Callithrix jacchus: one gene and its partner. The protein of the gene in region 1 interacts with the protein of each later gene in a pairwise test. Links are inferred from orthologs where the notes say so. Each region holds a gene or a part of one and is shown on either strand. Other genes may lie near its edges.

Region 1 (4,243 bases):
TGGGTTCCACATTCCTGTCTCCTTGGAATGCCTGGTGGGTTCTCAGGAGATCCTTTAGAAGTTTTCAGTAGGGGACCTTTGTTAGGTCTCTGTGAACTGGGAATAGAGGGATAGATACAGACTTGCCTGTTTGTCTTGCCCCACCCTTCTAGTATACACCCCCACACAGCACAAACCAGAATGATGGGGAGGGGAAGCCAATAACCCCCCAGCCCCACTGCCTGCACAGACACATTCTACTCCATGCCTGCCTTAAACACCCCATGTCATGATCAGGCCTAGTCTATTCAGATCCCTGGATTCTAGAAAGCAGTGCGGTGTCCCTAGGGCCTATGCAGATTTCCTGGGACAGGACTGGTCTGCCTACAGCCAACTGGATGGTAAGAATCTCCCTGACTCGCAGGTTCGGTGGATTGGGAAGAAAAAAACATTTCAAAAAAATCTCCCTGAGAATTCAGGAAAGGCCTGGCTGAGTCAGGTTCAGTTGCATCTGCAGCCCTGTCCTGTGATGGACAGTGTGTGTCATACTTGGCTGTGAGGGGTCAGCTTTGGTCCTCCAGCAGCTTATTCTCTGCAGTGGATGGATTTCAGAAGCCACAACTCACCGAGGTCTCCTGCAGCTCATATGGCCCAAGTACCTGTAGACCTACCCACATGCTGCCTTGAGTGACATGGTGGGAGGGAGCCCTTGGGGCCTCCTTGCAATACAGGCCAACTTCCTGTTTGTGCCTGTGGGTGGGACTTTATGAGTCTAAAAGAAGCCCAGCCATGCCCCCTGGGAGGTCAAAACCGGCAGGCCTGCTCACCTGGGCAGACACCTACTCCAGGGAGGGGGCTGTGCTGGTTCTGCTTGGGCGGCCCCAAGTGAGGTGTGTGCATGGTGGGGGTAGGTGGGAGCTGCTCTGGTGAAACTCAAGTCTTCTTTGTGTGCTTCCCAGGGGTTTTCCTTGTACTTGGGTATTGGGCCCAGAGTGGACTGGTTGGGCTCCCAACCGAGCAGGGGGGAGAGTGGCGGAGTCAGGCTCTATAGGCAGCTTAGTTAAGGCAGCCAGGTAGCAGAATTCTCGGTCACGTGATGATCGCCCCTTTTCCCCAGGTGGAAAACCAAGTCCGGTAAGCTGTGAAGTCAGAGGCCAGAGAGGCATCCTCCGCCACTGTCTAGCCACTGTTGGGCTGGGCACTGGGTCGGCTGTTGGTGGGGTGCGGGGCAGACCACTCCCCTCCCCGGGTGGGGGGCGCGGCCTGAGCCGCCCTGCCCCGCCCCGCTCTGCTCCACCAGGTCCTGCCAGGCGGGCGCCGGGAGCCGGGAGCCGGGAGCCCGGAGCCCGGAGCCCAGAGTTCGGAGCGAGCTAGGGAGCCGGCGTTGTCGCAGCGAGGAGGCGAGCGCGTTGGAGCAGGAGCGGCGCCGGAGCTGTAGCCGAGGCGCAGCTGGCGCTGGGTGAGTGGTGGGCGGCGGAGGTGCAGGAACTCCCGCCTCCTGCACATCCCCGCTCCAGAGCGAACTTTCCGCTTCTGGAGAAGCTGGGGGTGGGGATGAGGAGTGGGGTCGGGCGCAGGCGAAGAGTCAGAACAGGGAAGCGACACGGAAACGCATGCCAACGGGTCCCCACACACGCGTGCACAGACCCACGCCCGCACTTGGGACATGCGAATACACAAGCACTCGGAAAGGACGCGCCCAGTTGGCTACCCTTGCACTCCCAGGGACAGCGCCAGCCGGCGCGCGCGTACCCCCAGCGGCCAGGACACTCTGCGGTCGCGTATTGGGTGGGGGAAAGGGGCAGCCCCGTGCCCGCAATGGAGGCGGGCCGGGTGGGACGCACCCAGAGGTTCCTGCTTCCTGGCCGCCCGCAGGTGAAGACCAAGACGTAAACAGGCGTGGCGCACGTGATCGCTCCGCAGATCAGTGGCCAGTGCTCCCAACCCCACCACGGGGCGGGGACCCCAACCCCAGTCCCGGGCGCGTTTGCCTGGTCCCAGGCCGGACGGCGTTCCATTCTCCGCCTGGAGCCGGGATAAACCCTCTCCCAGGCACCGGAGCACAGCGCCCCCTGGAGCCGGGGCGGAGCAGGAGGGCCGGGCTGCTGGGCAGGGCCGGGGTAACTCGGGCTCCTGGACGTCCTTCTTCCCAGCACATTCTTGGTGTCTACATCCCGGAAAGTTTCGGAGACAGGCCCTTGATGACAGTGGACAGCTGCCCCCGCCTATTAACCCCAGCCCAGAGAGCAGCTGTCTGAGCGCCTGAGGGTCCCCTTCCTACCCTCACTTCCACTCTTTGTGGGATTCCGAGTCTCCTCCCCCGAGAAAATTCATGAGTGTAAACGCCCCCTCAATACTGGAGTGGGCCTACCCCCCTAGCAAAAGGAGGGCGAGCTCCTCCCCCCAGGGAATGAGGGAGTGGGCAGTAGCTTGATTCCTTTTCCCCGCCCCACCCCCCCACCCCTACACACACACGCTGAGCCCAGCTGCTGCCTGAGATGGGCAGGCTGCCAGAAAGAGGAGGAGGCTCTCTGTGCCCCAGGAGGCAGGGATCAGGGCAAGGCCAGAGGAGGGGGCTTTGCTGGGGAGAGGGGCTCAGTCTGTTCTTGTGAGGCTGAGGGTCTGGGGTGAGTCTGAGGGTGGCTGGGCTGTGTTTCCCTTTCCAGGGAAAAAGAAAGAAAAACAACCCTATCCATAGAGCTAAAAATAGAGCTGAGAGCGGGCCAGGGCTGTGGCCTGGAAGGGGGGGATGCTCCTTCCTGGGGCCCGGACGAGCTCTGGCAGGCCTTGGCCCTGGGGGGGAGGGAGTCCTTAGGGGAGAAAGGCTGTCTTTGCCCAGGGATGCAGGCATCAGCTGACCTGACCGGGTCACCGAGACCCTTAAGGGAAAGGCTGTGCTATAGGATATTTGTGAAGCACGGCGTGTGTGTAAGAAGTTGTCCGTGTGAGTGAATGTCAATAGAGGCTGTCAATGTGTGAAAGATGGCCAGGAGACTAAGTGCATTTGAGACTGTGACTGGGTGCGAAGGACTGCGAATTGTGGAAGCCTCTCCACAACAGGCCTGTGACACCGTGTCTGTGTGTGACATGGACTGGAAGATTATGGAAAGAAGGAACGCGGTCCCACGTGACAGCTGAGACTGCTTGTGGCTGCGTGGTGAGGCTGCCTATGGGAAAGGTCGTGTGGGTGTTAGGGACTGTGTTGTGCGCGAGAAGGTGAAAATGTCTGCGATCCTGAGAAAGTGGAATGTTGTTTGCCGTGAGGCTGGTGTAGGTTTGGGCTGTAGGCTGGAACCGGCTCGCCCAGTGATATTGGGGAGCCAGGACTGCCCCTCTCTGAGAAATGGCCTCTCTTTTTAAAAAGTGATCCCAAGGGGAGGCCGGCCTGGGTTCGCGGGGGAAAGGACACCGTGCCGGGGAGTGGGACAGGGCCAGTGTGGTGGGGGGAGGCTGAGTGTGTTCTTCGAGTCGGCCGCCAGGTGGCGCCGCCTCCGCGAAGCCCAGGTTGCCGCCTGCAACCCGCCGCGGGTGGGGCAGGCGCGGACCGAGCTTTGGCCACCGTCTCACGCTAGGGCGCGGGGCCCCCGGACCGGAGAGTGGGGGGCGGCCGGCCCTCGGCCTCCTGCTTGGGACCCTGAGGCTGAGAGCGTGTCAGGGAATTTTCGCCTGGAGAAGCCGAGGGGGAGGGGCGGCCGCCGCCGCCTCGCCGGGGCTCTTTGTGCTGTAACAATGACCAGCTGCCGCCGGCCCCCGGGCCCGGGCTGGGGCGGAGGGTGACCGCCGCCGCCGAGCCGAGCCAAGTCCCCGGACACGCAGTCACAGGGCGTCGGAAGGAGGGCTCCCGACTGCCGCCGAGCAGCCCCTACGTGCGCCCCGGCGGACTCGCGTGACGCGGGTGCCGGAGCGTGTCCGCGGCCCGGGGCGGGGACGGCCCTCGGACCCTCCCTTGCGCAGCGCCGCCCACTCGCACTGGGCGGGGGCTGGCCTGGGCCGGGGGGCGCCGCGGAGGCGGAGGCGGGGCCGGCCCGGGCCGCTCGGAGTGGCGGCGCGCGGGCCGGGATCGGGGCCGGAGCCGGGCGGCGCGCCTGTGGAGCGCTGGGGGCGGCCTGGGGCTGAGCATGGAGCAGCGCGGCGGAGGTGAGGGGGGGCCGGGGCTGGGAGGCGGCCTGGGGCGCCCCCAACTTCTGCGCGGTGGAGTCCAGCGGGGAGAGGGCATTGCCCAGCCGCCCCCACTTTCTTGAAGCGGGTCTGGCCCCTGGAGAAT
Region 2 (4,168 bases), on another chromosome or scaffold:
TAAAATGATCTAGTACATGTAGGGTGGTGGTGGTGGTGGGGGTGGTAATACATAAAACACACTGTCCATGAATTGATCGTGAAACCACATGATTAGGTCCATGACAGTTCTCTATACTGTTTTCTCTACTTTTGTGTATTTTGAAATTCTCCATAATAAGATAAATTTCCACAATGAAAATGATCTAACCTTTCTCAGCTTCCACTTCCCTATCCATAAAACAGCAATATTAACAGAATCTTCTATTGTGAAGATTAAGGTTATACCTGACTCACCGTAAACATTCAGTAGATGCTCACTATTGTTCTCTCAACTATGTAAATAAAAAATAGATTTAAAAAGATGTAAGATATAGATCAAAATGCTATTAATAGATGCTTCTGGATGATAAACCAACAGCTGATTTTTCTTCTTTTTATAATTTATATCTGGACTGTTCAAATATCTACAAAGAATATTTGTTACTCTTATAATAAGACGAAAAACCTAAGTCTTTAAAAAAAGTAATTTTAAAAGTCTTCCCCGAGAGAGTTAAATGCCCAAAGAAGCCTGAACCATGTTTGTCTCACAAGATATTTTACAAACAAGACCACTTCATGGAAGAGTAAGGTGGAATGCTTATTATTGTCTTGTTCACGTTTTCCTCACCAAGCGCTCGTGCTCAGGGTGGAAGATCCTTGTAAACGCCAGTGAGCTTTAACACGTGGCCTTCCTAGCATGGAATGAATTGAGCCTTCCTGTCCTCTGGTTTCATGTCATCCTTGTCTTACCTTACCACATGTTCCTCCCTACGAGCAGTTTAGCTTTTTTTAAGGGGCATGGATCCCCTTGGGAATATCACAAATGCCATGCCAAGAAAAAGTCACATTTAGGCATACAATATTGCATTCAATTTCCTAGTGTTCAGGGGCCCCCAGAGTTTATGTCCACTAATTAAGCACACCGAAGCCATGACATCAAACTTAGGAATGTAGAAATACACATCCGGTATAGAGACCACTTTGAGAAAAACTAATTTGTACAAAGCCATAAGCCAGATAAATTGGCGGATAATTACGGGCATTACATATGTGGTTTTTGCTCTGCCAAATAATTTCCATTAGGACATCTATAAATAGCAAATCCATACAATACATTTGAATCATGCCGCTGTTTGCCCAAATGCTAAGCCCTTTCCAGGACGCACCTACGGCAGAGCAACAGGCCAATTCAAAAAGTTTAATACCAGTTTCACTCTTGAGTTTAGCTACCTTCTTTTACAGAATTCTAGCCTTCCTATAAAATGGCCACTAACCTATATCACTTTGGGGACTGATGTTCAACGGCAGGCAATGACACCCAGAACCTTTGTGACTGGAGTCATGTATATGGGTTATGAGATTGTTTTGGAGTGGGTCATTTGAGATGAGATGGATTCCAGCTCTTTATCTCAGGAAGGAAAAGGATAAACATGACTGAGTCCTTAAACTATACCAAGGGGACATTAGGGCATCTCATGTACCCCTCACAATGATTCTGGAAGGTGGAGGCTTTTTCCCTCATTTCCAATTAAGTTTCAGAAAAGTTGACACACATACCCCAGGTCTGGCAGCCAGTAATTAACAGAAAAAAAAAAAAAGTAAATAAGATGCAAAGTGTTCAGGCTTAGCTTACCATCATTGATGGTTAATTTCAGGGGGCTGAGAAATGTACAGTGCCCAGTATCACCCCAAATCCCCAGAGCCACTCAGGCTGCGATTTTCATCCTCCTGATTGTATCAATGGCTTCCAGGGATGCATGTGAAGGGAGACAGGATGGCGCTTTTCCTTGCCCCATCTGACCTGTTCCTATCCTACCAACTGGCATCCCCTTTCCTTTGCTGGTATACAGGGACTGCCTCACATTTCCCCAAATGCTTGGGGATCTCACAATGAAATCAGAATAAAGAGCCAGGAGCTCTACACTTAAAAGAATCCACATAACTACAAACTCCATCTTAGGCTTTGCACCACCAGCTGAGTTGCCATTTGGCATTGCACTGTGAGCAGCCACATTTTACTCGATCCTCTTCCAAGATTTTCAAACATGTGCCTGGCACCCACGAGAATTTCAGAGGAAGTGTAACAGTGACAGGAGAAGTGCTGTGGGCCTGGTTGTGTGTGTATGTGTTAGTGTAACTTTCATAAAAGCAAGTGTAAGTTCTTAGAGTATTAACTTCCACAAGAGGAACATCAACTTTAGACAAACGCAGTATTTCCCTTTTCTTGTCCTTTTTCTTTTTTCTCTTTTAGAGAGTGGCATCTGAAGGTAGGGTTGATCCCTGTTGAGCAAAAGGACTCTGAGACCCTTGGGATACATACTTGCTTTTCTGGCCCAGGACTCGAGCTTTTCTGCAAGAGTATCCCTCGGCTGTCTCCATCCCTCAGCCTTCAGAACCCAACAATTACCTACACGTGCTTTGGACACAAGCAGGTTCAAAGCACAAAACAACCAAGCCGCCACCCCGCAGGAAATCGATCTCTGGACCCGGAGCCACCACGAAATGCGTGTGTGAATGTGTGGGCGAGAAGGCTGGGTCCACGGGGACGCGGTCCAGCATCGTGGGCAGTGGGTCCCACCGGACGTTCCAGTCCCAGGGGAGGCGCCGTCCAGCCCCGGCCCAAGGAGCAAGCGTCAGCCCCCCGCGCCCCGTGCTGGACCGAGAGGAGAGGGGAGTGAGTCTGTTCTCCTGGGGCAAGTGCGCTTCGGTACCTTGGATTCCTGGCTGCCGGTGGATGCAGGAGAGGGCGGCTGCTCGGCGCTCGCTGCCTCCTGGGGCAGCCCGTCCACGCCGTCCTGGCGGGGGCCGCTCGGAGGGATCATCCTGGCCGCGCGGGAACGGTGTTGGGCTCCCGGAGAACAGCAAGGCTGCCGTACCCCTGCGCGCCCTGCCCGCCGCGCGCACCCGGCTGCTCAGCTCCGGGTCCCGGGGACTCCCATCCTTGCCCAGGCGCCGCCGTGCCCTCCTCCAGCCTCGCCCCTCTCCGCCCGGCCCTGCCCACCTCCCCGGCACTTCCGCGGGCGTGGAGGACAGCGCGCCCTGCCCCGCCCCGCCGCGCCCGCGGCCACCTCGCCGGCGACCTCCTAGCAGTGGTGGCTGCCACTCGGCCGCCGCAGGCGAGAGGGGCGAGCGGGGCTTCAGCTCGCCCACGGGAGGAGGGAGGAGGCGGGAGCAGCTCCGGGGCGGGGCCGTGCGGCCAACGCCTGGAGTAGTGAGGGCAGGCGGGGGGCAGCGCCCTGGAGAGGAGGTGAGGGTGGAAAGCGGGGTGCGCGCCGGCACCGGGTGAGGGTGAATCTTTAGGGAGGATGCTGAAAATTCAGACCCAAACCGCAAAGAATGGAAAATCTGTGAATGATACGGCCAGAAAGGACCACTTGCAACGACTCCCTCATTCCTCACCCCAAGGAATGGTGACTGAGACAGTGACTTAGCTAAGCTATTTATAGGGTTCAGTGACTGAGAGCAGCGATCCCAGTGGGGGGGTGGGTCCCCCGAGTCAAGGGAACTGCGCTTCCTCCATTCAGCTTTGATCTAAAGCAGAGAGATAAGGCGGTGTGTATATGGACACCTGTTCCTCCTTGGTCGTGCACTTATTGTACTAAATCCTTTCTTTTTACCTTACTTAATCCTTCCAGCTACTCTGGGTCTAGGGATTATCACTTCCATTTTGTAGATGAGGAAACTGAGGTTGTAAGAAGGCTGAGTAATTTGCTTTAAATCACTAAACTGTAACTGGTGAAACTGGAATTTGAACTTATTTTGGCTTCAAAATCCATGCATTTCCCACTGTGGAACTTCAAATTTAGGCCAGGTCTTGACTGAAGAGCAATTGGGTGTTGCAGTATAGCAATAGTTGAGGGCCGTTCGCAGAGAGGCAAACCAGCCTGTCTTACTAAATCTTTTGGAAACATAGGGATAGCCCCATTGAATAAAGATATTAGAAGGGTCCAGTTTATTTTAAAGATAACCTTAGTGTGCAGGGAAAGGAAATACACCTAGATATTTAAAAGCCTCTTTCCCCCGCTTAATACGAAACACTCTCAATTTTTTAAAAGAAGATTGCAAACTTCTGTTCAGATTTTTAAATTAGCTGCAGATCTTTGCAGGAGCAGCTTCATGGATGTGTAACCTGTGCAGTCACACAGGGC

What was found.
Region 2: the proteins of LZTS2 (region 1) and STAC interact in binary tests that used the Homo sapiens proteins (3 or more experiments, as listed by UniProt). The two-hybrid records come from large-scale screens. The link is inferred for Callithrix jacchus from reciprocal best matches to the Homo sapiens genes LZTS2 and STAC.

Annotation. Positions count from the first base shown.
Region 1 is NC_133513.1:93,952,615-93,956,857, forward strand, and holds the start of LZTS2 (leucine zipper putative tumor suppressor 2), read left to right. Parts: upstream 1-1,277; 5' UTR 1,278-1,438; intron 1,439-2,474; exon of another isoform or gene 2,475-2,606; intron 2,607-2,774; exon of another isoform or gene 2,775-3,136; intron 3,137-3,989; exon of another isoform or gene 3,990-4,116; intron 4,117-4,243. UniProt on the Homo sapiens protein: Negative regulator of katanin-mediated microtubule severing and release from the centrosome. Required for central spindle formation and the completion of cytokinesis.
Region 2 is NC_133518.1:74,357,131-74,361,298, reverse strand, and holds the start of STAC (SH3 and cysteine-rich domain-containing protein), read right to left. Parts: upstream 2,996-4,168; 5' UTR 2,843-2,995; coding exon 2,732-2,842; intron 1-2,731. UniProt on the Homo sapiens protein: Promotes expression of the ion channel CACNA1H at the cell membrane, and thereby contributes to the regulation of channel activity.